Schizosaccharomyces pombe: one gene and its partners. The gene in region 2 interacts genetically with the main gene of each other region. Each region holds a gene or a part of one and is shown on either strand. Other genes may lie near its edges.

Evidence for each region.
Region 1: mutations in toe4 (region 2) and ndi1 together harm fitness more than expected from each alone (negative genetic interaction), as found in Schizosaccharomyces pombe (one large-scale study listed by BioGRID).
Region 3: mutations in toe4 (region 2) and SPOM_SPBC1348.01 together harm fitness more than expected from each alone (negative genetic interaction), as found in Schizosaccharomyces pombe (one large-scale study listed by BioGRID).
Region 4: mutations in toe4 (region 2) and SPOM_SPBPB2B2.18 together harm fitness more than expected from each alone (negative genetic interaction), as found in Schizosaccharomyces pombe (one large-scale study listed by BioGRID).

Annotation. Positions count from the first base shown.
Region 1 is NC_003423.3:637,743-646,035, reverse strand, and holds ndi1 (NADH dehydrogenase), read right to left. Parts: upstream 4,743-8,293; 5' UTR 4,351-4,742; coding exon 2,695-4,350; 3' UTR 2,130-2,694; downstream 1-2,129. Other genes in the region: rba50 (RNA polymerase II-associated protein), read left to right, coding at 1-816; respiratory chain complex assembly protein Cbp6, read right to left, coding at 1,367-1,489, 1,557-1,745; exosome subunit Rrp46, read right to left, coding at 5,899-6,524, 6,608-6,662; AFG1 family ATPase, read right to left, coding at 7,018-8,293.
Region 2 is NC_003424.3:113,343-123,202, reverse strand, and holds toe4 (transcription factor), read left to right. Parts: upstream 1-2,969; 5' UTR 2,970-3,094; coding exon 3,095-5,008; 3' UTR 5,009-5,142; coding exon of another isoform or gene 5,143-6,510; 3' UTR 6,511-7,149; downstream 7,150-9,860. Other genes in the region: SPOM_SPAC11D3.09 (agmatinase), read right to left, coding at 1-358; SPOM_SPAC11D3.08C (amino-acid permease), read left to right, coding at 995-2,647; SPOM_SPAC11D3.06 (MatE family transporter), read right to left, coding at 5,143-6,510; mfs2 (MFS family membrane transporter), read right to left, coding at 7,483-9,123.
Region 3 is NC_003423.3:2,273-9,200, reverse strand, and holds SPOM_SPBC1348.01 (uncharacterized protein), read right to left. Parts: upstream 3,751-6,928; coding exon 3,261-3,750; intron 3,203-3,260; coding exon 2,883-3,202; 3' UTR 2,372-2,882; downstream 1-2,371. Other genes in the region: ftm5 (transmembrane helix domain-containing protein), read right to left, coding at 187-1,221.
Region 4 is NC_003423.3:4,499,173-4,505,435, reverse strand, and holds SPOM_SPBPB2B2.18 (uncharacterized protein), read right to left. Parts: upstream 2,745-6,263; coding exon 2,711-2,744; intron 2,650-2,710; coding exon 2,579-2,649; intron 2,369-2,578; coding exon 2,150-2,368; intron 1,910-2,149; coding exon 1,772-1,909; downstream 1-1,771. Other genes in the region: SPOM_SPBPB2B2.19C (transmembrane helix domain-containing protein), read left to right, coding at 492-1,526; ftm7 (transmembrane helix domain-containing protein), read left to right, coding at 3,040-3,480; SPOM_SPBPB2B2.16C (MFS family membrane transporter), read left to right, coding at 6,042-6,263.

The DNA of each region.
Region 1 (8,293 bases), on a different chromosome or scaffold from region 2:
GGTTCTCCCTCTCCCCCGATGGCGCTGAGCCAAGCTGAGATTCGATCTCGTCAAACAAAGCGAGTTATGTTTCCAGATAAAGCCGAGGAACTGACAAAAATATTTTCCCTTCCAACTTTAGCTCCAATTAAAGGTAACGAAGAGGACGATGCGTCAGAAGATGCGAAACATAGCCCCAAAAAACATTCTCCAGCCCTCAGTGACGGTACAACAAGTAATGATGGTGCGCCATTGGAATTTGATACTACGCATCTTCCAGAGAAGCAAGTAACGCTGGATCCTAATGACCCAAGTTTTTATGAACAACTTCATGATAAATATTTTCCGAATTTACCTGTTGATGAAAAGCAAATGCAATGGCTGCATGATCCCAGTCCTGCCGAGAATAGTTATCATCCTTCTGTCGAGAGTTTGCATGCTCATGAAATTCGATTTGGCTTCAAAGGTGAAATTATAACCCCCTCTCAAAGTCAAACAATCCCTGTTAATGAAGGACTTCATCATCATGGAGACGCACCATTTAGTGCCGGATACACTTTAGTTGAGCTGGCTCATCTTTTGCGTTCAAGTTTCCCAACCCAGAGATGCATTGCTATTCAGACTATTGGAAGGATTATTTACCGATTAAACTCTGGCGAATTCAGAGAGGTGCTCAGTCCAGAATTGCATACACTAGTCGAAGATGCACATATCTATGAATTACTTGCCGCCGCTGCCAGTGACCAAGTAAAGCACCTCACTGTACGCTCATTAGCAATTGAGGCACTTTGGTTATGTTCACAAAGTCAACACGGCTCATCGAGATCGGCTGTTTAAAGAAGCAAGCTTTTTTTTATAAGGAAACAGAAAATTATGAAGAATGTTTTATCATTTGTATCTGAATGTGACGATTCTATTTGTTTTGGTTTATGTGTATTACTAGTTTTTTTTTTTTTTTGTATCAAAAAAAGGATGGTTTTTTTTTTGGTCTTTACTTTTTTCGAAATTGTCGCATTGCTGAGAGATTTTACTTGGTAATCGAAAGTGGTGCTGCAATGAATATATTTTTTATACTAATGCTTTATAAGGACAGTTTTTATTTATCTACTTTTATCGTGTTTCCATTCGTTATTTAGTCGAAAATGAATTTTTAACACAAGAAATGACATTGAGACAGACAATTTAGATTAAAATAGCCCACCCTCATAACTAGTAAGATATCACTTTGTCTTTAAATTTTCATCAAGGCGCAGTAAAGAGATATAAAAAAAGTATATATCTCGAAAGATCATTTAACCTAGAAAGTCATAGAAGTAACACATTAATTGAAGTATTATGAAATCAAGGCATAAATAAATAGGATGTCTCGCAGGCGCATAATGGGAGTTCATTTCCGTTTAAACAATCTTTTCCAAAGAGGAGCTTTCTCTTCTTTTCTTCTTATTTGGGTAAGACTTTCGTAGTAAGAAGGTTTAAATTGTGGTTTCAATACTACTTGCTTGGGGATATACTACAATTTGGTTAAAAGGCGAACAAAGGTAAGGCGACCCTATCAAGGCACGTAATAAGAAGCATACCTTATTCCAATAGACATTATCAAGCAAATTATTCAAAGCGTTTAACTGCTTATTAGCCTGTTGAGGTGGCATCTTTTGAAGTCTGGCTCTAATAGATGTGTCAAGAGTCTTAGGAAACGACAACCAAGGTCGCAATTCATCCTTCGGCCAAAGAGCAACTGCCTTTGTTATTTTTTGGTTTAGAGACATTATTGAGGGTTAAAAACAAGAATAAAGCCTCAACTTTCAATTGCTTTGCAAGTAGAAAGATTCTTCGACATTCTCTGCTTTGGCCAGGCTATATCACCTTATTGCGCTAAACAATATTGAGCGGCAAATACAAATATTGTAAATAACTTAACAGAATAATTACATATTTTGTTAGGCTTATAAGGATGCAATCAGTACTACGGTGAGTTTTTTTAGTGAATCATCTATTATGTTATACAACGTATATCATTAAATGATCTTAAAAAGTACCGGTGCGATGGAGTTGATAGAACCTTTGAAAACGGTTTAAAATTGAAGTGAGCAAGGTAGAGTCAACTAAGCATATTTAAGCAGTATTTTAAAACTTTCAATCTATATAAGAAAGGATATCTTATTTGGAGTGGATTAGAAATATGAAATTATCTAAGAAATGTTGCTATGTAAGCGAACGGGTTTTTTGTGAAACGGTTCCTGATGGGGTAGTGTAATATAATACTGTACAACGAATCTAGTGCCGGTGAAGCCAGCATGGCATATTAATTATACGATTAGCTAGCTAAAAGCAGAGAACATGGTTTATACGGGCTCTAATTAAAGTGGTTCTGAATACAGTAAGACATAAATATAATTCTTTCAGTTCATATGCAACATATAGTCTCGTTGAGTAACGAAATTGTACTACCTGTCAACTGTTAACTTCCAGCTTTTCTACATACATCAATGGAGTAACACTAAGAATTATTCCATCATAGAACAAATAAGGCATCAGTATTATCATTTAGAATAACATAAACTTAAATTATCAAAGTAGTAGTCGAAACGAATCGTTCATCTCGAAATCTGTTATTCAAATACGTTCCTTTTTCAAGTATAAAATAATCATCTTATGATTAACGACAAAGCACAAGGAAACAATTGCTTGTAAACCAAAAGTATTTCATTCCGTTCATTAAACCTTAGCATCATAACGTCCAAATAGTCTTGTCTTCAACCAGTCAATCAACACCATGAATTGGGATCGAGCAGAAATCAACTCATTTAAATATGCAAGTCTCCAAAAGGTGTGGCCGACAATTCCCTGCAAAGGCAGCATCTTTTTCATAAATGGCAATTTTAAATCGGCAATGGCCTTTTCATCTCCAACGTAAGCTAAAGCTCCTTGATGATGGTATTTAAAGGGCTCTAACTTCAACTGCTCCACTTGCTGTTTCAATCCGGCAACCTGAGAAGGAGCCTCTTTCTCACCTAACTGTTTTTCAAGAGCTTGAATCCGTTCATGCAATGCAAACTTCTTTCCTTCGACGTTCAAGTTCTTAGCCAACCAAGCACCTTGTTGGTTAGCAACTTGAGCAGTAGCAGGTAATCCAGAGAATGCGCAATCACCAACGGCGTACATCTCAGGTACACCCTTGACCCTAAAAAACTCATCAACTATTAAACCTTTGCGCGCACCGCTTTGTTCAGGGATAGAAGACATCAATGTACGAGTGAGTGGACGAGCAGTAATGCCGGCAGCCCAAACGAGCATTCCGTAGGGTATCTCTTGCATAGCCTTGCTTCCGTCAGGGTTGGTCTTTTGAACGATAAGGTTCTTCTCATTAACATCTTTAACCACGGTTTTAGTCATGATCTTAATGTTAAGATTTTTGAATAAATTCTCCGTATACGTAATCAAAGATTTAGTAAACATGGGGAGAACACCGGGGGCAGCTTCAATTAACGTGACATGGATGTCTTTTTGAAGCTCGGGAAACATATCCTTAACGTCGTTATCAATGAAATCTTGCATCTCAGCTGCAAATTCCATTCCAGTAGGGCCACCACCAACAACAGTGATGTGTAAGAGACGAGCCCGTTCCTCGGGAGAAAGATCTTTATTGAATCGAACTTGTTCCAAGATTTCAAAGATGCGGTTAAACACCTTCTTGGCATCTCCCGCTTCTTTCAGAAAACAGCCATGGTCGCGGACACCCTGGATACCAAATGTTTGATTACCAGCTCCAATAGCAAAAACAAGCGTATCATACGGAATAACCGCTTCCTTTCCCTCGTTAGCTTCGGTCGTACCACGAATGGTAACTTTCTTAGCCGATGTGTCGATGGCAGTGCATTCAGCTTGGTGAATGTTGGAGGGATCAATTTTTCCTTTGAACAAAGCCACAATGGGCTCAGTAATACTTGGAAGTCTCAAAGTACCCACGGTACATGAAGGAAGCATAGGGGTGAATAAAAAATGGTCCCTAGGGCTCACGAGGGTAATGTTGTACAAGGACGGGTCCAAATTTTTGATTGCCGCGACTGCACCCCATCCAGAACCCAAAACAACTATGTTCTTTTTCGGAACACCAGATTTTCCTTTTGGCGAACTGTTGTTCAGTCTTCGTAAGGATTGGAAGAGGGCTACGGCACCCAACATGGACAAAGAAGAAGTAACTTCCGCCATTTCAAGTGCTCGAGAGAAAAATGATTTGTTACGGGGTGTAGGAACATTCCCACTGTTCTTTACAGCACAGGATACATGAAATGAACGAACCATCGTTTTTGAATATGGCACTGTACGAGACAGGCGAACCACAGACTGTAGTCTAGCTTTTGAGACCGACATTTTTTAAGAAAAAAGAAGTAAACAAATTTCCCCTTAAATAGGACTAAGTGATAAGTGGTAGGGAGGCGTGAGTAAAAAAATGTATGAGATAATGACAAATGTTAAAGAGCAAGCAAACTAAAGAGATAAACCCATTCAAAATTGAGCTATTTTACGATATTAATAGACAGTAATAGAAAGAGAGAACGACAACCTTGAGTCCTCTCCTAAATACACAGTGAATTACTATAACTAGCAGAAATAAGCCTTTAGAACTGCGAAAAAAAGGTATCCAATAATAGTTTTACTAGAAAAAATTGTAGTGTATTCTAAAATACCTTCTACTTTACAGAAAACGAGTTTTTCTGCTTATTTTTTTTTTAAGAAGAGATGGGGGAGTGTTGAATGTGGACGAAAGGGCTGCATAGCTGAACATTTTGTATGTAAACAATTAAGGTCTACGAAGCGCCCTAATTCCGTCATCACGGTTATTCATATCAACTTGATTGGACTCGGCAATCAAGTGTGCTGTGAGTGGGGAAAAATAACGCGGAATAAGGTTATCCATAAAAAGTATTACGTGGTAAGAAAAGAATTGCTAAATGTTAGCAACGCACTGTGTTATCACATTTAATGTTACATTGGTAGTGTATGTTATTTGTCCTAAAAAAAGTGATATGGGTGACAAATGCTATAAATTTTGTGGCATGAAGGGTGTAACTCATCGTTGAATCAGCTTATAACTGGACTGAGAACCGGGTCAATTGATCTCTATTCATAAATTGTAGCTAATAGTACCTTCAATCAAAAGTATTTAACTAAATTTATAACCGTCATATTTGGCGAACACATAAAAAAAAGGACATGTGAAAAAATATTAATACCTGCTGTAGTATAATATTACTACATTAGATTACTTTTTAGGAAAAGTTGTGCAACAGTAATTTTTTAGTGTATGGCAAATTCCCAGTTTATGAAGGCAATGCTTTGTCCTGGGTATGAATGCCTTTTATTCACTTTTCTACCTATTTTACCTTCAATGATTTCCTAAACTTAAAATTCAGTAGTATATAAGACAGCTAATGTGTGCGACCTTCCTATGTGTTTTCAAATCGTTTCTCTTAGTTAACAGCTTGATACGTTAGATAGACTCAATATGTATAGAGTAAGTGAGTGAGTGGCAAAATTAAAAAAAAAAGTCATGAGTGTATATACCCAAGGCCTTGTACTGAACGATTGTCTTATGACAGATCTTCTTTTATGATTTAACCCAAATGTATCAGCATACATTGAAGTATTGAAAGAACACATTAATTGCTAGTGAATTGAAAGAATGACAGTAAACCTTCTAATGTAGTAGGATTGTTTAGGTTCTGGTTTCTCAATTAGTAATAAACTAAAATAAATTAAAAATAACCCAATGTATATCGCCCAAGTAATATAAAATCTAAGTATAAAAATGAACAGCCAAAGATATTGTTCAAAGGTATAGTCGTTTAACAGGTACAATGGTAAATACGAAACGAAGGTCCTTGAGATGGACTTTTTACATGCACTTTATTGATTTTCTTATGCAACCACATCCATCTCAACATCCTCTTTGGGGTTCTTTTCATTTTCATGACCATCGCTCTCGTTGTACGTTTCAAAAAGCAATTCTTTCATTTTCTTAGAAACTTCCTCGGCATGCAATGGTGCTGTCTCCAGAACACGGAAAAAATCTTCTTCTGGAATGGGGCCAGCTGTTTCGAGAAAAATTAATTTGGCTGGTTCTGAGGAAATTGAATAACAAATAGTAATAATAGACTCCAATTTGTTAATTGTCCCATCGACATCAGGTTCATCTTGAGTTATTTTGTTCTTCCAGTGACAATTTATTGCACAGGGAATATATTTTAAAGAGATACCTGCGTCCAATAAAGCAAGTACCGCACCATTGATTACGGCAGCCAATGTATCTGTGCCATCTTCCTCTATTATCTGAATTGACACTTGTATAAGTGTTCTTGGATATGTGTTTAGAAATATTGCATCTTCTAGGATACCAACAATTCTGCTAGAAATCATCTTTTCCAAAGTCTCAGCGACACCACTCACAGGTTGAACCAAAACTTCAACGGTGGCCTTGTTAAGCCTTTCGTCCCTGATTTTTACATCAATAGGACCATTGACACCACAAATAACCCTAGCAGAACCTACAATGATGTTAGCATAAAGAAAATTCATTTTTTTTTAATTGGCATTTGCTTGGCTAATATACCGTGGATAATAGCATTACCTTGTTTCCATTCGCTCGAGCCATCAGACCTTGAGAGGATACCTATACGGTTCATTTCAGCTTCTATAATGCAACAAAGTTGCTTGCTTGCAGAGACAGAAGAAACGTTTCTACTTCCTTTGCACAAGTAGGAAATAAGCTAGCTTACACCTCGTTATTCGAAAACAGAATGAGAGCAGAAAAAAATGTATCAATAGTTTGGTGACAATGGGAGTTGTATTAATAAGGGTTTGTAATTAAATTCTTCCAATTTTTACTTTACTAAAGCTGAATGATAGGAGAAACTGGAATGATCTGTAACAGCCCAACCACTAAAAAATTAGAAATTACTCATAGCCATCTTTCAAAATATTTTTTTAAAAATAATACATCATGATATATAATCTCATTATAAAGGAATCACCTTTGTATTAAGGAGAATGAATCCAGGATTGTTTTTTCATTTCTGAAAGTCTACTCAAGCAACGCGTGAAGGTAAATACCTCTTCAATCCCACCAAATGCTCCATGATAGTGAGATTCAATTTTCCCCTTGGCAGCAGGATCAGCCGTAGAGGAAAGTACTTCAGAAGGTGCTGTCGGATATATTTCTTGAACTGGAACTTCAGATGATAAGATGAGTTTTCCATGGGTGTCATAAAGGGCATCAATAAATGTAATGAACCTATGGATAAGGTCTTTCGACTCGATACTCAATTTGGGAATGTCTGAAACGATGAAAACATGGTAACGGCTTGCCAATGAAAGATAGTCGGCAGCGCTTTTCGGTTCTCCACATAATTGTTCAAAGGTGAACCATGCAACGTTGCCACTTGCTTTTGGAACGATTATCTTTCTCCCAAATACTTCAACTTCGTCTTGGTGAGCAGGATCTTTCTCATCAGCGTAGCAAAGAAACCAATTTTCCAAGGCTTTCTTAACTTCTGGGCTATTAGCAGGATAAAGATATGTATCTTCTGTTTTAGATTTTAGGCGTCGGTAATCGTTTGGACTGTCCAAACAAATTACTTGAAGACGATGTTCCAAAAGTTTAATGCAAGGAATGAAGCTCTCTCTTTGTATTCCATTTTTATACAAATCAGAAGGAGCCCTATTAGAAGTAATAAAGATAACAACACCATACTTCATAAGGGCCTCAAAGAGTCTGCGTAGTAAAAGAGCGTCCGCGACATCGGTTACCTGTAATTCGTCAAAACATAGCACTGTTGTTTCTTTTGCTATTCCGGATGCAATATGATCTATAAAATCAATCTCAAACCCATAACGATCTTGCAAATCATGTGAAGTGCGATGAACTTGCATCATAAATGCATGGAAATGAATGCGCTGAGAACGAGTAACATTGGGTGGTAAGTTGTGATAAAATAGATCCATCAAAGCGGTTTTACCACAGCCCACATCACCATATAGATATATACCTTTAGGCATACCCGGTACAGGTAAAGAAGAAGTTAGAGTGGGAGACTTCTTCCTAGAAAACATTTTCTTTAAGGGGGATATCCAAGATAGGATTGATCCCTTTTCAGCTGGCATACTATCTTGCGTTATTGGAGGTTGTGTATACGATTCCAATTCGGTATACAAACGGTTGATTGCTTTAACCGCTGTTTCTTGATACGGGTCACGTTTCCATACGCCGTCATTAACTTTCTTGTTGTATACTTCAATAGGTGTATTATGAAATGTG
Region 2 (9,860 bases):
TGGTCTCCATTGGAACGTTGTAACCACCATAAAGATTGAGACGACGAGATCCTTCACGGATACCGCTTGGACCAAATCTAGCACCAGGACGGTAACTAGTACCAGTGTCGAATGGTGCTCCAAGGAAGGCAATGTCGAAAGATTGACTTTTGTCGTTTAGACATTTCCAATAAGGAAGACGACCAAAAGTTGCGATTCCCGAAAAAACGGAATCAGCTTGTGTTTCACCATCTCCTGGAAAAGCATCGTCAAAGGTTTCAACTGCATTTGCACGAGATTGCTCAAAGATCTTTGGGTGCGCTTGAGCCAATTGAGCAGCACCCGCGAGAAGAATCAAAAAAAGGCTTTGAAGAGCCATTTGAATAATTGTTTGTACTGTTGAAGTTTATTGCATTTTCAGGTGAAATGAATAAGGTATTTATACTACATTTCAGATATACAAACTTCTTCAAATATCTCCAAGGAAATTTTTGAATCTGCCGTGGGGATTCACATTTCGTTAATATAAATAAGCATTCCTGTAAAAACGATTGATTTCGTCATTTGAGTTGAGCATCCACCGGAACAAACTAGTATAACGAGAGATTAGGATGGATCTTTAAGTTAGATCTAAGATATTATTGCCTATCAGAATTTCCTTGGAAATAAAGGCATGATTGTACGCTCCAAGGAAAATAAATTACGGAAGGCGAGGAAATTCGGGCTTTTATGATTAACTTTTAAAGTCTTATAAAATGGTTAAATTCATTTTTGCTTTTGAATAAAGACATATTTAGTCACAAAAGCCTCTGCAAGCATATACCCTTTCGGTGATCATAAAATTTTTGACAAACAAGCTTTGTGTGGCTATTTCGGCTTGGAGGAGTTGACATATAGATCTTTAGTCTTATTCAAAATATTTGGTATAAAATATTTACGAGCTGCTAATTTTGCTAAGACCAATTTGCTTTGAGAGTTTTCTGCTTGTAAGGACGACTCACATTCAGCATTTACAATGAGTGACATCGACAAAGAAAGCTTAAAACAAAATCAGAAGCAATGGGAAAATGAAGTTGAGTTGGGCGAAAGCAGAGAAGCTAATCAAGATGATGAGCTTCTGATGAGCCTTGGTTACAAACCAGAATTCACTAGAGAATTCTCTTACGTTAGCATTTTTGGTCAATCGTTTGGATCAATGGGTCTTTGTCCGGCTATGGCGGGTTCACTCATTTTCTCGATGAACTGTGGAGGAGGAGGCATGGTTTGGTCATGGATTATTGGATGTATATGTCTGATTCCAGTAAGTATATCATTGGGCGAACTGGCGTCTTCTATGCCTACTTCTGGAGGTCTTTATTTTTGGATTTTTACCCTAGCATCACCATCGTCAAGAGCATTTCTCTGCTGGGTTTGTGGTTACGTGTCAGTGCTTGGCTACGCTACGATTTATGCTTCAACAGTGTACTCTGCATCATCTATGGTACAGGCACTAGCTGTGATAGGTAGTCCTTCTTATTCACCTACAAAATATGAACAGTACGGAATTTACGCAGCGTTGCTTTTCGTGATTTCTGCCATGACTGCAATTCCCTCTCGTGTTATCGCGAAGGTGAACATCATTAATATTACCTTCCAATTCCTTGTATCCATTATTCTTATTATTGCCCTTGCCGCAGGATCTGACTCTACTACTAGAAATTCTGGAAGTTTTATATTCGGTGATTTTACAAATTATTCTGGATGGTCAAACATGGGATGGGCATTTATACTTTCATTCACTACTCCTGTGTGGGTTGTAAGCGGATTCGAATCTAGCGCCGCTGTTGCTGAAGAATCAACGAATGCTGCCAAAGCAGCTCCCTTTGCTATGATTTCCAGTCTTGGTGTGGCTACCATTCTTGGATGGTGCATCGTTATCACCGTTGTAGCTACTATGGGTCACGATTTTAATGCCATTCTAGGTTCCTCTTTAGGCCAGCCTGTAGCTCAAGTACTGGTTAACAATGTTGGAAATAAGGGAGCTTTAGGAATTTTCTCTTTGCTGGTCATTGCCCTTTGTTTGAACTGCATTTCGTTACTGATTGCTGCATCTAGAGAAGTATTTGCTTTCTGCAGAGACGGCGGGATTCCAGGAAGTAGATACTTACGTCTTTTGACTAAACAGAAAGTTCCCTTAAATGCAATTCTTTTAGTGCTACTCTATAGCCTTTTAGTCGGTCTACTAATTTTGGTTAATGTCACTGCCATTTCTTCTGTGTTTAATTTAGCAATTATTGCTCTTTATATCGCTTATTCCGGCCCTCTTATGTGTCGATTTGTGTACAATAAATTTCAACCTGGTGTTTTCTACGTTGGAAAATGGAGCAAACCAGCAGCCTTATGGTCATTAGTTTGGATGTGGTTTATGATTCTTATGCTTTTGTTTCCTCAATATCAAAAGCCCAACCAAGATGAGATGAATTGGGCTATAGTGGTCCTTGGATTTGTAATGGTCTTTTGCGTGGTGTATTATTATTTGCCAAAGATTGGTGGTAAAACTTTTTTTACAGGTCCAATACCTACTGTTCAACAGGAGAACGAGTACATATCTGGTGTTCCACTAAATGAACTATCTTTAAGCAGTTTACCTTTGCCAAAAGATTTTGACCAGAAGCAAATCACAGAGTAATTTAACCTGAGTGTTATACTTTTCTTAACTCTTCTTTTTGGCAACAGCTACGCTGTTTCATTGTATTTTTACTGTGCTTTTATAATTGTATGTTTATTAACAGTTCTTTTTTATTCTTTTGTTCCTAGTCTTAGTTAAATAGCTTAATATTGTTTTAATGTCTTTTAATGAATTAGTGGCTCTGTTATCATTATCAGTAATATAAGATTATATAAAATTTTTTTTATCTTTCGAGTACGTATACTTATCGTCTTGTCCAGATTTTCTTATCATCACTTCCCTTATAACCTATACTTAAGCACGACTTGAGTAGTGCTAAAATAAATCTGCAGATGTATATGCTTTTTAACAGTAAACTGCACCAAAGGCGGTAATGCTTGCTTACAATTGATACGCATTCAGCTAGAATTTAAGATAGTTGTTTAATTACTCTTTTCTTAACATAAGATGTCTCAAAATAAAGCATGTGATCTTTGCAGGTTGAAGAAGATTAAATGTAGTCGAGGGCAACCAAGATGTCAGACTTGTACTCTTTTTCAAGCGGACTGTCATTATTCTAATCGTGCTCGCCGTAAGAGACTTGTTCAAAGAAGCAAGGAGACGTTTGGGGGAATTACGTTACCCGTGTTTGATTATGCCGCTGGTATTAACGGCAATGAGCCAGAACCGAGTGATCACTCAATTCCAAATCAAGAAAATTTTGCATTAACTACTAATGGAACTATTAGTAAAAACATTGAAAAACCCGAGGATGGTGAAGAATCCGTTCAGAGACGCCTTAAATTGCTTGAAGAAAAAATCGATTTGTTGTTAGATATAGCTACTGAAACTTCAGAATTTAAACGTGAAAATAAGGCTATTGAATTACCTTCCTTGGTTACACAAATTAAAGATGCAGAATCGATTGTTATTAAACACAGACAAGGTAGCCCTGTCGACAATACACCTACTCGGATACTGAATGTGGAAAGCTTGTTCCCTCCACAGTTGCCGGACTGGGAGAAGGCATTCCATGACATTCCCAAGAAGGAAGTAGCCCATGAGTTAGTCACGTCTTACTTTCAGCATGTAAATTGGTGGTGGCCTACCTTCGTATATAATGATTTTATGTATGAGTTCGAACGTCTTTATGCGTTCGGGTTCCATAGCAATAATGCTTGGCTAATTTCTTTTTATTCTATTTTAGCATTAAGCAGCATTAGGAAAAGACTTGGTAACTCAAAGACGCTTGCAGAGTCTTTGTTTTCAACAGCTTGGGTTTTTGTTCAAAAGTCCGACTTTTTTCTTACTCCGAGCATTGACAAAGTTCAGGCTTTAATTGTCATGACACAGTACGCAGCTTACCTGTCTAGCTCTTCTTTATGTCGGACTTTGTGCGGCCAAGCCTGCCTCATGGCCCAACAATTAAACTTACATAGAAAGCAATCCACTGATGTGGAGCCTGAAAAGGCTGAATCGTGGAAAAGGATATTTTGGATGTGTTATATTCTCGATAAAAATATTTCTTTGATTTTTGGAACCCCTTCCGTTTTTAACGACAAGGATATTGATTGTAATTTGCCTGATAGCAAATATGAGCTTTTGTTTGGTGTACAATCTGGTGGTGATTTGATATTTGTTCCTACCGTATCGTTGACAATAATTCAGAGTGAAATACGAAATCGACTATACAGCGTGAAGTCACCTACGCAAATGGCAGCGAGAGAAAAAATCATCATACCAATACATCAAAAATTGAAAGCGTGGGAAGAAAACCTTCCTTCTGAAATAAAAATGTATCATGAAATGTTGCTAAACAACACTTTTTCTCCCACTATATCGCTTAGCGATCGGTTCGAATTTTTAACTTTCGCAGGTATGGAAGTTTACTTTTCTTACTTAAACACTTTAATTATATTACACAGACCTAGCTCGTCGACAGAGAATCGAAGGATTTGTATTAATGCAGCCCGTGAAGCAGTTCAATTGTTAAAAAATAGACTCAACATTGATCTCAGGGTCAATGTTAAAGCAGATCCGCTATGGATATTCCTATACTGTCCTTTTACACCTTTTTTAATAATATTTAATAACCTTGTTCACGAAACTGATACGGAAACGGACTCAGAAACATTACTTAACGATTTGGATCTTTTACATGTAATTTACGATTTTTTTATGGAAATGGAGCCAGTTAGTGACGTGGCTTTGGAACTTGTCAAAATTGCAGACAAACTTTTGCGGGTTGCTAAAGAAGTTTGCAGTGCCAAAAATAATGATGTTACGGATTCTACTTTTAAAGATATCGTTGAAGGTTTTGAACTTAACGACTTAAACAGTTGGGATTTTGACAGAGTAACCAATGTTATGAGGAATCTTTAAAAAAATATGAAAGTAACGTTGTTTTATTAATAATTTATTTGCTTTAATGTACATGGTGAACATCATTACCGGTTAACAATGAAGCTATTATCAAACTATTTTGCTTGATCAACTACATGCATCGACCCAAATGTCTAATTGAGTAGTGCAGTCAATTCAGAGGAGTCACCAAATCTTGAGATTGCCTTTCTTGATTGGGAAATCCAGTCAGTTGCCATTACAATTTTCAGTTCTAAAATTCCGACTATGGATAACGCTATTACCTGTCCAATCCAAAGACCGACAAGACCTTTGCCATGGAAGGCTAAATAAATTCCTAGAGGCAGAGCAAACAAATAGTAGGCAGTAATGTTAACTATAGCGCCAACCTTCTGTCTTCCCGTGCCTCTTAAAGCTCCTCCCATTGTACCATTCAAGGAATCTGATATTTGGAAAGCAGCTACTAAGGGCATTACAAGAGCAACCAGCTGAATGACATCTGGATCATTTGTGAAAATCCGTCCATAGATATTGCGTACGGCAATCATGGTAATCATGATAACGCTTCCTACTGCAACACCTACAATTGCTGCGACCTTAGCAGTTAGAGAAGCATTGTCAGGTAACCCAGCTCCGAGATAGTAGGCAACTCGATTAGAAGTAATTATTCCGAGACCGAAAGGAATTGTGTTAAGTAATTGATCTGTGGTCATAATTACTGATTGAGCGGCAAGTGGTACAGCACCAAGTTTACCAGCAACTAGTGCTACTATTTCAAAAGCCCACCATTCTGTTCCCACCATAACGATACCCAATAGTGATAACTTTACAAAAGGTCCAAAGTTCTCTAAGCATCGTTTATTCCAACCATTCCACGCCTCTGCCCCTTTTACGTATTTCGCATATTGAGTTAATAAAATGAATGAAAGCCAGTACGATAATCCAGTTGCCAATGGAGCGCCTTTTAAACCTAATCCATAATAATGGACAAGTAGAAAATTTAAGGCGACATTAAGAGGAGAGGTAACTAGAAGAATATAAGAACCAGCCCTAGTGATTTCTTGTGTTTGCAAAAACTTTTTTAGCAATTCAAAACATACATAACCTAGTCCGCCTGGGATAAGGTATCGTAAAAACTTTTGTGAAGCTTCAGCTAATTCAGGTGTTTGATGCAAGAAAATTAGGATGGGTTTAGAATACCACCAAACTAAACATATTGGCAGATATAGAATACTGAGCACGATGAAACCCGTTTGCAATAGAATTCCCAATTCTTGTTTTTTTCCGGCTCCCCAAAGGTTGGAGCCAAGTGTGTCAAAAGCAGTAGTTCCACCTAGAGCAATCAGCCAGCCTGTGCTCATCGCAAACATGTACGCAAAAGCAGCTACGGAAAGCTCGCTTGGTCCAAGGCGCCCGGTTACAATAACTGAACTAGTTTGCAAAGAGTTTTGCAAGGCATATCCAAGGATTACCGGAGCTGAATTTATCAAAAGGTATTTCACCTCTGTAAGTGGTCTACCCATAATAGTGCTTTCTCAGAGAAAATTTGGATATACGGTGTATTTTTTAATATAAATAAAGAGTACTTCTTAATGTCTGTTCACCGAAGGTTCAAATTTTCCTTTAATAAAAGTTTACTAAGCTTTTATCATATTGATTGAACGGATGGAACCATAAATTTATATCAGAGAACGCTTAGAAGCCGCACATTTAGGGCATAAAACTTCAGATGTCATGGCTAAACATTAGTATATCCGTGGAGATACGGAAATTTAGAAATACCCACGCAAAATATTTTTCGCTTAGCCAACAGACATTGGGAATTCTCGCCGAGTTTTTGCTAACTTAAATGATAGCAGTTAGCATATTTTGCCGGTGAAAATATTATTACCGTCTCACTCCGCTGGTTAAAAATAGTAGGTAACAAATCGGTTGCAGACTAAGAAGCTATTGACTCGCACGTTATTCTTAATTTGTTGAAATTAGTACAAAAATTTGAGCATGAAAGCGAATAAAGAGTACAAAAAATATTTTGTAATTTTACCTTGCATACTCATTGACTGTTAATAATTATAACACTTACCGATGGTGGTAAAATATATAGCAGAAAATAGCTTGGTGAATTTATTAGTCAATAATGATTTGAACAAACATTACAGAAAAAACGATTTGTAATTTCCCAAATAACTGTGTATAAGTATGAATCCAGTTGTTTGGCGTACGCATATATCATTCTCGGTTAATTTTGCTTTTCAAAAGTTTATATTTAGATTGCTGTGACTTTTAGAATGCAACACGAAATAACTTTAAATCTTTACGTTTTTATTAAAACTTTCTAAATTAGTTTATAAACATCCATTCGTTCTTTAAATAGAATAAGCACCAAAATTCATCTTTGCTTGCAATCACTCTCTTACTATATAGATATATGCATGATATGACAATTATAATCAACATTAAATAAACACAACAACAACAAATAATCACACTTGTTCTTACAATTTGTAAGCGTTTTTGCTCCACGCACGAATGCTCTTGCCAAAACGATAAAATATAAAAGGAATGGGAACCATCGCTACAGAAATAAAACCAAGCACACTAGTAGCCCAGTGATCTCCTAAATTAAGGTACATAGGCCTGGCCACCATACTTATGCCTCCACTGGCAGAATAGCGAACTAGAGTAGCTGCAGCTAAAGCGCTCGGTGCCATATGTTGATACGAATCAATAATGTAATTGTATGAAACGAAAAAAACTATTAATAAGGAAAACCCAAAGAAAGCGCTTGCTATTATTGGTACAATCCAGTGAATGTGATGTGGATAACATGTCCATGCAAACCAAAACATTGATATAGGCAACAAGAAGCAACCAATAAACAGCGGATACAAACGATCCTCTGGACATATAACTCCGTTTCTCTTTTTGTTGACCTTTAAATAATGCCAATAAATAAATGGAGTGCACAGACCTGCACATACGATTCCAACGCCAACACCAATAAACGACAGCCCTTGCTCACCTTTGTTGAAGCCGTATTTTGCAAATACTATAGGATATCCTTCAAAATTAATGTAGTTAATGATGTACACCACAGTCAAATACAAAGTAAAGCACACAACAATGGGCTCTGTAAAAATAAGAGAAACAGCTTGAGTAGCTGCCTGAATCATTGCATTTTTCGGATCTCGTTCCCGCTCATGGATGGTATAGTAAGCAGTGTTTCCCGTTGTTTTGCGAAGATATTTGGCCTTATAATCCAAAATCGTATCTTCGTGAGTTTCGGGGAAAAAAATGAAAACAAACACGATTACAGCAGCTGCCCAAATCATATTAATCCAAAATGTCCATCGCCATTCCAGATAGCTTTGTGTAATGAAATCACCGATTATAGGTCCAATAATTGGACCAAGGTACGGAAAAGTACAAAACCCAGGAAGGACATAGGTACGCTGGACAGGTGTAAACAAATCACTGATGGTTCCGCCAGCATTTGCCAAGGGAGTACTTCCAAAAACACCCTGGAAAAATCTTACAATAGCCAACGTCCAAACATTATGTGCACAACCTCCACCTACTTGAAATATAGTAAATATCAGTAGGGTAACAAAGTATATGATGAATCGGCCATAAATATCACTTAAAGGTGCAAATGGCAAAGACCCAACACCAAACCCTACTAAAAAAGTACAAGAACCTAACGTAGAAACTGGAATAGAGCTATGAAGTTCACTGGCGATATCAATAATGCCGCTAGAATACACACTAGAGGCGAAAGTAACAACAATGGTAATAACAGAAACCTGAATGACAATCCACCATTTATAACTATGGCTCCAGTTCCTTGGATTTAAGGGATCGTCTGGACCATCCCACGTTACAAGATATTGGTCCTCTGCTAAAAGGGTATCATTTAAAATATTTTTGCTTTTTGCAGGGCGTCCCTGACTAAGTGGCAATGATGCTCCTAATGAAACCACTGATCCTCGATCATCAGCAGTAGTATCAATAGCAGCATCAGCACCGTTAGACAGCTGTTTTTCTAAACCATTCAATGATTCATCTGAAAAACGTGAACCCACTTTCGAATAGTGCTTTTCAAATTTCTTTCCCGTAATTAAGGAAAGTAAATCCATGTGCAGTTAGTATTGAAAAGGAAAGAATAAATAAAAGTGGGTCAAAAGTAACGCCAAACAAACGAAGGTTATCGAAATATATGCGAAGGAGAGATTTATATACTAGTCAAATTTAAACAGCTGAGATTGCTTTAGTCATCGCGTTGTTCCAGATCGTGAACGAAAACACCGATTCGCTCGCTAAAGTAGATACGAAATGTCCAGCAGATTTTGCTTAATTAAAACATAAATATTGATGAGCAAGAGCAGCTCGTTATAAATCAGACCTCCAAGGATTTTATCAACTACTCAACTGGTTATGTGAATAATGACTCAGTTAAATATTAAATGTACTCTAAACGGTTATCATACAATTTATTAGGAGGATTATACCAGCTAGTAGGAATTTAACCATTTCAAATTTAAACCTCTTTTTTTTCGTAACTTGGGGTCGTCATAATGAATAATTCTGTTTGTCGAATTTGAAGGGAAAAACACACTTGTTATCTAATTCCAAAAAAAAATAAAAAATTTTTAAAAATTAGTGGGGTTTTTTTTTCACCAATGTCTAATGATGTGTGATTTAAAAAAAAACGTGTGTAACGCATTGTAGTATTACTTACCTTTGCATGATTAAAAGTATATGTTGATATCGACTATTTAGAGGTAAGATTAAAAATAGCTAAACTTGATTTGTTATTTCAGTTTTGAGTTACATCAACCTAACTTACAGTACTGTGCGACACATTACCCTATGT
Region 3 (6,928 bases), on a different chromosome or scaffold from region 2:
GTAAAAAAATATTCATTTGTAAAAAATAAATAGGTGGTATATTAAATAAGAATGAACTTACTACACAATTTCTGTGTAAAAAAGTGAGATTAAAATAACTGGATATTAATCCATTGATAAACAAATAATAAATAAAATAATCCCGGTAACCCCTTTAAAGGTGAATCAAGTAAACCATGGTTTTTGTCAAATCATTTTCTCTTGAGCCTCTTCAGCTACATTTCGATTGTAGGCAAGTGCTTCATTATGGGTGGGAAACATTATGTAACATGGAAAAGCAATTTTCTCCATAAAAGTGAAAAGATCACCAATGATCACCGACAGTCTGTAATCAAAGTTTCCAAATATAATATTCGACAGGTAATGCAACATTGGAGATGCACAGAATATAAAGATAAATGCATTTAGCATTCTTCTAAAAAATCTGGCTTTTGAAGCATTTTCGTAAGTTGTTACAGACGTGCATTGTTTCAATAAATGACAAATAGAATACACCCAAATTGCAGGAGATACCTCATACTGGATCATGTCAAAAATCTCTGATACTACATATACGTCTTTATATAAAGAAATCCAGTATACAGAACATAAAGCAATGACAATACTAATTCCTTTTATCATAAGATATTTAGGAACAGTTCTAGTTATGCCGAAACCCAATGCACAGTAAATCACAAATAATCGATAAAAATTTGTCCGAAGAAAATCAATTATTTCATACACCGAATAAAATTGTCTGTATTTTATACATTCGGAAGAAAAAACATACTCCTCAATGCATTCTTGTAGAGTCTGATTTAACGCAAAAAGAAAAATATAAAGGCAGATTACCTTTTGAGCAGGAAATATAATCTTGCTGAAATGTAAACAAGTCCATATCCAATAGCTCAAAAATAATAGTACTCCTCCCATTTCAGCTACAGAAATATAGTTCCAAATGCCAATTTCGTCATTATTAATTTGATCTTCTGAAACCGAATACCCCATAAGGTCTAAATTAAATTCAGCTCCATCCATTGTCATTGGTCTCGCAGCTACGCAGTAAGAACCCGTTTCATTAATCAAAATAGTTTTCCATATACTTGTAATATTTTCGCCCGTCCATACCGATTCCGAGTTACCAGAATATGCAAATGATCCCATCTCTCGGTTTTGGGAATTAAATTCCTCAAAAAAAGATTTTTGGATCACCGTGTCTCTTGATTTTACAAAGTCAATCATCTCCTCAACTTGATCATTCCAGCCAATTATATTTTGCCATTCATTTGCTTCAAAAAAAGACAAAGCAATTTCTCTTTTATCGAAGCTTTGTGCAAAAAAATTAGCATGTATTCTGGCACCGTTAGATTCCTCCACAATGAACCAACTGCACTTAAGAGTGAGCTTTTTGGCTTCTTTAGGCAGTCCATTATGGTTTGACAAGGTAGAGTTTTCCTTTTATGTAGTAATAGATACTGCTTTGGCGTCTACTTCACCTTTAACTAGAGTATGGAGAACTAGGTTGCATAACAGCAATGCTAGTGTTTTATGAAGACGCATCTTTAAAAAAGTTGGTAAATGATGCTTGCTCAAGGGAAAAGCAGATCAGGAATGATTAGCCTTTTATATCTTTCGTTTTGGAGTTACCGTGCTCCACGTTGCATAACGTTAGCGTTAAAACATTGGGAAGATTGGAGGGAAAAGAACACAAATAAATGGTTTGTTCACGCATCATACCTTTACTTCAAGATTTAAATTGTACAAGCACAAGTTACTGAATATAATAAAAAATCTGTTAAGTATGGAACGTGAAAGATAAAGTCATTCACCGTTGACTAGTTCTATTCCGTTAGTACTCGTACTTCATTCGATGATTGAGTTAATAACGCCGTTGGTAATATCCCGAGAATACAGAAGCTTTTTAAAAGAAAAATATAGCAAAAAAAAAAAAAACTGGTAATGACCAGTGGATAAAGAGATAGCATTCGTTTTTTTTTGAATTTAGCAATTATTAATTTAAAGCATAGATTGAAATTCAGCATGTACACTACCAATCTTTTTTTTTTTTTTTTAATTTCAATAGTTTGTTTTTACGATTGCGAGCAAGCGCCAGAACAGATTATAACGTAGAAAATTCAATTCGTCTAACTTATGTCCTGCAATATTTTCGCTTAGCAAGCATACACCACACCACCGTCCAACCATTATCGACCTAAAATAAATTCTGTCATTCAAGGTTGATCACTCCTTTTAGGCAAGATAGATAATAAGACGATTTGTTATAAAACTTTCTTTCTCAAATTTTTCTGGTCTGTCAACCATTTAAAAGTAGTCCAAAGATTTAGAATCTTTTACTGTTTATTCAAATAAAGCTGTTTAGTATTTTGTAATTTGAAAATTAGAACGATATCTATAATCACTAAGCGAATAATCACTAAACGAATTATATTTCAAACAAAGCCTTAAATTAACTCGAAGCATTTTCGTCATAAAAAATTGAAACCAAATTGTTTCTACTAACAGATAATGAATAAAACTCCTTTCCTGTAGTGAATATGACGCTGAATTTTGGGTTAAAGTAGATGAAATGGAGTTTTTGAAACACAAGTGGGAGTCCAAATTGGTTCAATTCGAAATTTTTTATTTAATATAATATATTTTAAGCTTTTAAAAAAAAAATATATAAAAAAGTCATTTTTAGTATTTGAATAATTATGAAACGAAAGATAAAAACATTAGTTACATTAAGTGATAATATCTTAATTAAAACCATAATTTGGTTTGGTTCCATAATTGAAATTCATAACGAACGCACCTTATGTGCATGATTTGGACAGGACAGTCAATTCGAACATTGTTAAGAATAGTTATATTCTATATGATCATGAAAACGATAAAGAAAATTATTTTTTCACAGGAGTAGGCATATTTTGTAGTTCTATTTGTTCAATATCAGAACCAACTGTTGTTTCTGAATGTAATGCTGTTTCTCCGTTATGTGTAGGAAGAGTGTTAGAAACACAGACGTCTCCTGGTGTCACAATTTTAAAGCCTAAAGACAATATTACAAGTTTGTAAAGAGCCCAATGACCAAAATACAAAAGGCCAGTTATAGTTGCACCCAGGGCTGCTATAATCATTCCCAAGACTGCTATAATCATACCCAAGACTGCTATAATCACACCGGTCACCCGTAAAGCAAGTACCGCAAACTCTGCAAAGACTATTTTAAATTATTAGCAAAAAAAAAGAAAAAAAGCATCACTATAAAGGAAACATACAAATTAAACTAAGTAACATTAAAACAAGCAAACAAACGTAAATAGCAATAGGCACCCAAATTTCACTGTAGAACCGATTTTCATTTATCCAAATTGAAAGAAACTTTTGGACTTCGAACTTTTTGTCTACTGCGAATACAATGATAATAGACCAAATAATAAGCAAGGGCCAACGAAAATTACTGCGGGTAGAAATCCTTCCATCAGGATAATAGCTATTGTGGAATTTAGAAAATTCAGTAAAAAGGTCATTTAAAAACTCTTTTATTTTATTTGTTTTAATATTCATCTTGTCTTTTTGAGGCTTAATGGTGTTGGTAAAGAGGGATTGTCGGGATTGTCGAGATCGTTGAGATTGTTTGTTTACCTTTTCAGGCTTACACAAATCAAGTCCCTGCTCTAGGTCCACATTACAAACATCTTCCACCATAAATAACTCATTGTAACCAGGAGGTTCAACCTGTTTTTTCAAGCTTTCTGGATTTGACATTGGAATAGAACGACAGCACTGTAATTTGATGACTTCTGATTCACTAGTATTTTTCCCCAAAGTAAAATTAAAAAGAGTGGTTTATGGAAAATAAAAAAGAAAATATACTAAAATATTTTAAGCCATAAACGAGAAAATTAAAAAAAAAAAACCAAAATGGTGAATGTTTTACGTTCTGAGGTGTCTCATTTATTTAGGAAAAGCATTATGATGTTGGCATCTCGTAATCCTTACAACTTTTTTCTTTTCACAATTTAACAGCTACGCAGTTTGGTATCTGTTTAACGATACGTTTAAGTACGATGTGTTTTCCTTGTGACCTAGTATATTACAGTACACAGTAATACAAGTAGCATCTGCTATTGATATTTTTATATATGAATTAAATTGTTACCTAATCACTAAAGTAGCTGTAGCTTATTGCTGAACCTCGTTCTTTATTTTTCAGTTTTTCTCAATTTATAGCATTTAAAAATTTTTCTAAATATCCTGCATAATTAGTAATATGTCTATCTCTATAACTCAGAGTGGAAAGTTAATAGAGCAAATATAGAACACTTGACGTATGGTGTTATTCAACGTAGTAGTATTTAGTAGTATTGTTGACCTACATACATTGTATAGGAGATTATGCTTAATCCAGGGGATCATACAAAGGATTATCCTATAACCCTTATTTTCGTTCCGCAGTAAGTAGGTGTTTGTATGCTCTGAGGCTTAGTAATATATAGCGATCAAGAGAACGTCAATATCATAGAAATTTGGAACTATCTTCATCCTCTTTTTAATATTTTACCGATGAGATTGCTATTATTAGTTACGTTGCTATCTATCGTTGGTTACACTAATCAGTTGCTTTCCAACTGACCTCGAAGACGCTCCAGCTGTAATCTGGGTAGCCCAATTTCCTCCAGATAACACTACACAGCACTATGAATTCAGATATATCGTAAATGAATTATATAATGCTAGCAAGATGACTGCATTAATGAACCATATATATATCGATAATCCGCTTATAAGCAATTCAACTAATAACGTTACTCACGAGTTATTGATTGATCTCCATGAACTTTATAATGACGGAGAGATTTCCAGGATAGTTCTACTCAGAACTTTGGTAACTCAATCTGCGGATGATGCTACATGGATAATCAACTTGACAGATGATGTGCTTAATGGATTACCACTGCTGAAGAAGCGAGACCGATACACCACACAATGTCATAGTACAAATATGGCAAGCACATATGACTGTGACACTGGAGCCAATGCTGTTGGAGCCCGAGGTGGAGCCACGTTAGCAGCCGACTATAGAGGTGATTGGGGGGGGTAATGTTATACAAACCTTTGGTAGTAAAAGCGTGTCTTACTGAGATCTAGCATGTGATGTTTTGGCTTATTATCGATGATTGTTCTCAATCAAGAGCAAACACCCACCCTGAAGTATCAGGCGTTATACCTGGTTCTGCTGGAATGCGTAGAGTATGTGTTAGTGATAGAGGATCTGGGTGTTAATATTGCATCCCATTGTCCATAATAAAGATCAACACTTGAAGTTTTAAAACAATTAAAAACAACCCAAGTTAATTGTGTAAAGTTTAAATTGGAAATGTAGCATAGAGGGTAATACCTACGATAAATGAAGAAAAATGAAAACTTATAAGGATTAAGAGAAGCATTAACTTCATTGTCTTAATAGTATAGCGTAACTGTTGCAAGATTGACAGCGATATGTAAAAGTAGTATTTAATACAGCAGTTAAAAAATGTTCAGTCCCTTTAATTCCGGTAAAGCATTCAGTCATCCTACTAAGGAAAGATTCACAGAATCGACATATTGATTGTTATTCCTTCCAACTGAAGCGGCAGCTGACTTTGTGTACTACTGGTGGACTGAATCTATCATGATTAACAATTTCTTTATAAAGTATTTGACATTCAGTCATAAAAATAACAAAAAAAATTGAAAGAAGCAAACCGTTACATACATTACATACATATTCGATAAACATGGTTATATGTCGCCATTTTTAAGCTTGAAAATGATTACATGTTTAACTATTGCTCTTTGAAACAATATATTTTGTCGGTTTTTTATTAGTAGCTAGTATATTTATGTTTAAATTTCAATAATATTTCTTCATTAATTTATTTCAAAAAACCTAAAAAAAAAAGCTATACATCTGTTTGCTCTTATATCATTTCATTATCTAAGTACAGCTTAAAAGTTTCCATTGGAAACTGAACACTATCGATATTATTTTTAGCTACCGCTTTTCTGTTCCTACATCATTGAAAGTTGACAAACATTCAAAACGATAATACTAAAGTAATAACACGCACACTATATTATCAGTAATGTTGTTTTATTAGTATCAGCTAACAATAGTAAACGTCAGCAATATTACTACACTACACTACACTACACCTTGATATACTCGTTGTGCATCACCATATGCCATACCTAAAATACCAAGATTTCTTCGCCAATAATTGCGGAAGGCTACATGTCTATTTCAAAAATACCCATTGAAAGCGACTATTAGAAAAGATCAGTAGAACTCAATATTTTATCATCACATATATTTACAATTTGATTATTTCGTATACTATACTCTCATATTATCTGTAGAATTGTAATGCTCTACTTCTACAACGTATTATATCACTGTGATTTATTGCTAGTACTACTCGTACCAACAACTTCCAACTCAGTACGATACTAGGAATCAAATACTGCAATTCAACCTTTCTTCATACTTCTCTATTGTTTTGAGATTAGAACTACATTTGTCACTTATGAATTATTCCAAAACAGTACGCAATACTACCGTATTGATTGATGCCTTTGACAATTAGGAATCTCATTGAAGTAAAATTTAGAGCACTTATTGATTGTGAACGACGTAACAATATTACTGGTCATGTTAGTTTTCGATCTTTTTCCGGATTGACATCTTTACCTGCTTGCAATTTACTTAACGGAATACCATACAATCACTTTGTCAAGCAGAACTTGATGCGATCTGTTGAACTAAGCAAGCGTGGGACTAGCGACATAGATTATGAATTCTTCTTAGTGCATTGACGATTGCGCCGGAGATGATTGTTATTTTACATTAGGTTTCATGAATACATGTATCTGCAGAAATAAATCAGAATTATATGTCTTCTTC
Region 4 (6,263 bases), on a different chromosome or scaffold from region 2:
GATGCGTGAACAAACCATTTATTTGTGTTCTTTTCCCTCCAATCTTCCCAATGTTTTAACGCTAACGTTATGCAACGTGGAGCACGGTAACTCCAAAACGAAAGATATAAAAGGCTAATCATTCCTGATCTGCTTTTCCCTTGAGCAAGCATCATTTACCAACTTTTTTAAAGATGCGTCTTCATAAAACACTAGCATTGCTGTTATGCAACCTAGTTCTCCATACTCTAGTTAAAGGTGAAGTAGACGCCAAAGCAGTATCTATTACTACATAAAAGGAAAACTCTACCTTGTCAAACCATAATGGACTGCCTAAAGAAGCCAAAAAGCTCACTCTTAAGTGCAGTTGGTTCATTGTGGAGGAATCTAACGGTGCCAGAATACATGCTAATTTTTTTGCACAAAGCTTCGATAAAAGAGAAATTGCTTTGTCTTTTTTTGAAGCAAATGAATGGCAAAATATAATTGGCTGGAATGATCAAGTTGAGGAGATGATTGACTTTGTAAAATCAAGAGACACGGTGATCCAAAAATCTTTTTTTGAGGAATTTAATTCCCAAAACCGAGAGATGGGATCATTTGCATATTCTGGTAACTCGGAATCGGTATGGACGGGCGAAAATATTACAAGTATATGGAAAACTATTTTGATTAATGAAACGGGTTCTTACTGCGTAGCTGCGAGACCAATGACAATGGATGGAGCTGAATTTAATTTAGACCTTATGGGGTATTCGGTTTCAGAAGATCAAATTAATAATGACGAAATTGGCATTTGGAACTATATTTCTGTAGCTGAAATGGGAGGAGTACTATTATTTTTGAGCTATTGGATATGGACTTGTTTACATTTCAGCAAGATTATATTTCCTGCTCAAAAGGTAATCTGCCTTTATATTTTTCTTTTTGCGTTAAATCAGACTCTACAAGAATGCATTGAGGAGTATGTTTTTTCTTCCGAATGTATAAAATACAGACAATTTTATTCGGTGTATGAAATAATTGATTTTCTTCGGACAAATTTTTATCGATTATTTGTGATTTACTGTGCATTGGGTTTCGGCATAACTAGAACTGTTCCTAAATATCTTATGATAAAAGGAATTAGTATTGTCATTGCTTTATGTTCTGTATACTGGATTTCTTTATATAAAGACGTATATGTAGTATCAGAGATTTTTGACATGATCCAGTATGAGGTATCTCCTGCAATTTGGGTGTATTCTATTTGTCATTTATTGAAACAATGCACGTCTGTAACAACTTACGAAAATGCTTCAAAAGCCAGATTTTTTAGAAGAATGCTAAATGCATTTATCTTTATATTCTGTGCATCTCCAATGTTGCATTACCTGTCGAATATTATATTTGGAAACTTTGATTACAGACTGTCGGTGATCATTGGTGATCTTTTCACTTTTATGGAGAAAATTGCTTTTCCATGTTACATAATGTTTCCCACCCATAATGAAGCACTTGCCTACAATCGAAATGTAGCTGAAGAGGCTCAAGAGAAAATGATTTGACAAAAACCATGGTTTACTTGATTCACCTTTAAAGGGGTTACCGGGATTATTTTATTTATTATTTGTTTATCAATGGATTAATATCCAGTTATTTTAATCTCACTTTTTTACACAGAAATTGTGTAGTAAGTTCATTCTTATTTAATATACCACCTATTTATTTTTTACAAATGAATATTTTTTTACTGGAACGTTTTAAATACACATAACCTTTGAGTCGATGTGAAATAATGTTTTGTTCAAACTTAAAAGTTGCGAATCTGACATATAGACAAAAAAAAAATAAAAAGAAAAAACTGGTTACCTTCATAAACATATTTTGCTAATTTATTGAATTTAATTATTTTCAACTTGCTTTCCCATTTTCCCAACAATTTTTTTATCTATAATATATATTTTACAAAATTAATATAGTACATCGCATGGTTTTCTTTAAAACGACATAAACGTATAATAATAAACGGGGATTCAAAGTAATAAATCGAATCCAAATCAACTTTCAAATACATCCATTTCATCTACTTTACCCTTATATTCCCCTTCATATCCCCAACAAAAAACAGGAATTTGCGAAAGTAGTAAATGGTAAAAGTGAATAAATAGAATCAAGGTTAAAAGCTTACTTGTATGCATAAGAAGATAACTCCCTCCTCTTTACTTTTGCTTAAAAACAGATTCTGAGATTCGGGACTAGCATCGGTAATATAAGTTTTTCTTTCATACTGTTGAGTACTAGCATCAGAACCCTTAATGGTAGGAAGATCATCATCATGACTACGCCTTTGTTCAATCGAGTAAACATTTGCTGGTTCGTGCCAGTCACACTGAGAACAACAAAGTACCTATTATTAAAAATGTTAGCAAGCGATCGCTAACAAGTTGAAAAGTAAACACCTCCAACTATTCCATGGAAAGCATGTAACAATGAAGATCAATGAATGGCTATTAGCTTAACAAACTTGTAAACTCAAAACAGACTAACAACGTTTGTCAGGCACTAAGAGCAATAATGGAACAGACTTCATATCAAACGCTTTCTTGAATGTTCTTACCTTATTCGTATAAACCGGAAGAACAGGCACAATGAGAACCGTTACGGTTTTCAACTGACGACATACTCGGACTAAAAACAAAAGAAAGAGCCAATTGCTTTCGAAACTACTGAACTTGTTTATTTCTCGTACCAGTCTTCTTTGAACTAAAAAAAAAAAAAAGCATTAGCAAAATGTGTTGTCAAACGGATAAAAAGAGAACAGGAAGAAGATTGCTGGAAACAATTTTAAAACAGCGAATAAAAAAAAAAGAAAAAATAATAATAATAATAAACAAAATACGAGTCGCTAATTTTTGAAACTAATCGCTTCCAACAACTGTTTCATTATAACTTCACCATTTTAATATTGTCCCCAAACAGCATGATTTAATTCTCTTTCACTAATTTCATACCACACAGGACACGTAAGTAAAACATCCTTATAATCGTCAGTGGATATCCACATATCTCGTAAATGTAATGGCATTGTTAAAAAAAATAAACACTCAAGTGAATAGAATTATGAAGAATTCGAGTCTAGTTCAAAATATTTGTTTTGACAGAGTCCCTCTATTTATACCAAGACTAAGCCTCACAGTGAAATATTGTCTAGCAGTAAAATTGCTGATTTATTTATTATATTGTTGGTACATTTACTCGGAAGTACCATCGGTTTCATCTAAATTCCGATCCTTTACATTTGGATGCGTCGTAGTATATCATAACAAATTTTTTCCTCGTTTCATTAGAACTCACTCCATTAACTCCATTAGAACGTTTTCTAAATTTCAAGTCATTATACTTTTCTCTATTGAGAAAGTCACTAGGTCAGAAAGCAAGAATCATTCTTACTCGAAAACCGATATTAGTGATCTGCACCAGGGCTATAATAATCCACCATCAAGATTCATATCACGATAACAATTCCATAGTATCTTGCTATATACGTGTAATGAGTATTCGATACTGGCTTGATTGCTATTTCTCCTTTGCTTGTAATCGTAAAATTGACTTGAAGATCTAAACCTTCTAATGCAATCATTGGAATTCTGCCTAACCTGATCAAATATGGCTTGATCGCCGTTATGTTAAAAGCAGAAGCTATGCCAATCAGTATGATTGTAACTTACAAAAAAATATAGCACAACGACATACAACATTATGGTACAATAAAGAGGACTTGATATATCAAGAACGAGGTTCAGTTTGTGCTCCGTTTATATTATTGTATTTCTATATATGACATTACTTGATGCAATCGCTTAAATATGTACTTTTGTGTAGTTATACTCGCAAGTACAGTAGCATTTTTAAAGTAGCGGTGATGTTGACGAATGGTTTGTTTCAAATCCATCCATTTCAATTTCAATTGTAAATTTCTCTTTTTCAATTATTAATCAAGTAAGTTGAAGTGTATCAGCACAATAAATTCTGACTATTACTACTCTTAAAATAAAACTCAAGCGAAACTAATTTTTAATAGCAAGTCATATTCTTAGTTTGATATGCTATCCGCTTTGGTTTTGCATTGTTATGACTTTGTATAACCTAATAAGGTGACGAAAAATCAGTTCGTTTATATTTTTGATGAGAAGAATTCACTATTATTACACAGAAAAACATTTACTTCTTATTAGATACCTTCAATATAATATATTTTTTAAATGTAATAGCGACGACACTACCCATAATTTACAATACATTGTATGGTAAACAACTGAGTAGTTGATACACCCGATTTTCATTGAGTCATACACTTTGCGCTTACTATCACTTTATTTGGCTAAATGCATAATTTACAAGCCATTCCAATATTTCGCGCACTTTTCGGACATAGTAATAAAAGCCGAGGTAGTTTCGGCGACTTGCAACATGTTTTTTTATCGTCAGCTCGGAAATAGATTTCCTGACAGAGAAAGAAGGATATAAAAATAAACATGATGGGGCAATAAATAAATATTTCACCATTTTTTATATATCATTAAGAACAATGAAGAAATATATCTCTGAAGTAAAAAATAGTTGGGAAAATATGTATGAAGATCCCGCAACACCATTTGATAATGAGAAACCAGACGAATAGATCATGAATCTTGTACAACTGGGGAAATTACATGAGAATGTATTAGATGCCGGTTGTGAACCAAATAGAAATGCTAGATATTTAGCCAGTCTTGGATATAAAGTCGTGGGTATTGATATTTCCGAAAGGGCTATTTCTAAAGCAATCGATAAAACATCTAGTGAAAAAAGTAATGTCAACTTTAATCAACGCGATTTTTCAAGATTAAATGAATTCAAGGGGCATTTCGACACTGTGATTGACATTGGTTGTTTTCATTCAATTCTAAATAGTGATCATGAGCCATACACAGCTTCGTTAAGTCATATATGTCACTCTGATAGCTCCGTTTTCCTAAGAGCGTTTAGCGAAACAAACAAATCACGTTATAGACGGTGGCAGGGCCATAAAAGGTATTCCCTCGCTTTAAAAAGAAACAATGTCAAAAAGCTTTCTTTATAAACTATTGGAAGATTGAAGACATTAAAGAAGAAAAGTCCTGCTTCATCTTCCCCTAACTAGAAAAATAAATGTTTACACATGGTTTGCCAAAATGCGTTGTAAATAGTTCATGTACATAAAATATATAAAGATGAATGGACATATACATCAATTTTAAGAACCCATTAACAAAAAAAAATTCAGACACTCAATTAGCTAGCTAACAACTGTTCTTTACGAAGAGTTGAAAGAAACTTACAACCAATGGAAACCTTAGAAATATCAAGGCTATGATGCACTAGCGAAAATCCATTAAACTGACCAGAGCTTTTAACTTTGATAGATTGGCTATTCTTATTAGAAATCGATTGTTAACATTCATGAATTCAGCATTATATTAATGGTTAGAAAGTTATGGATCGAATATAAATGCCAAAGAAAGCAGGTGTGAGGTGGTCATTTGCTGAATCAGCAGGATGGATCCATGATGGATGGGATCGTGCAAGTCTAAAGAATTCTTCTGTAGTGAGTGTTCGTTGAGGCGATCTATAGGACAAAATAGCAGAATTGTATAAAAGAACTTGGAAAAAAGTCTATTAAAATAAATTGAGTATACTTTCCATGCCTGTAATTTATAACTTGCTATCGTGCTTACTTAGAATGCTCCGCGGTGAAGCGTGCACCGCGGAAAACTTATTGCATGTATTTTCCGCGTAACTGAGATTATATACATAAGTTAAGTATTTTGTGCATTAATTTTATATTTTAACCGGACCATACAAAAGTAACCAAAAAAGAAAATTGCTTTTAATTTAGAACCTCAAGCCTACTACTTTCAAATAACTTTTGGTGATTTTTTGTTGTATAGGAATACTATAGTGGAAACGACCTTTAGTATTGCTTAATCAATCTACGTAATTACTTGAATAATCGCTAGAAGATTTTCATTTTTTTTTTCAAACAAATTTCTGTGTTTTATATGAAAGAAGAGTCAATTTTAAAAAAATGCGATTCAAGTTCCATAAAACACGTGCCATCAACCCCTCTAGAGACAAACTGTCCAGACAAATATAACCCTAAAACATGGCCTATTCGTTTAAAGGTACGAAATGTCATTGTTATTTCATCAATGACTTTTTTGAATCAATACGGTGATAGTGTCTTTGCGCCAAGTATTTCCAATATTGCAGAGCAATTTCAT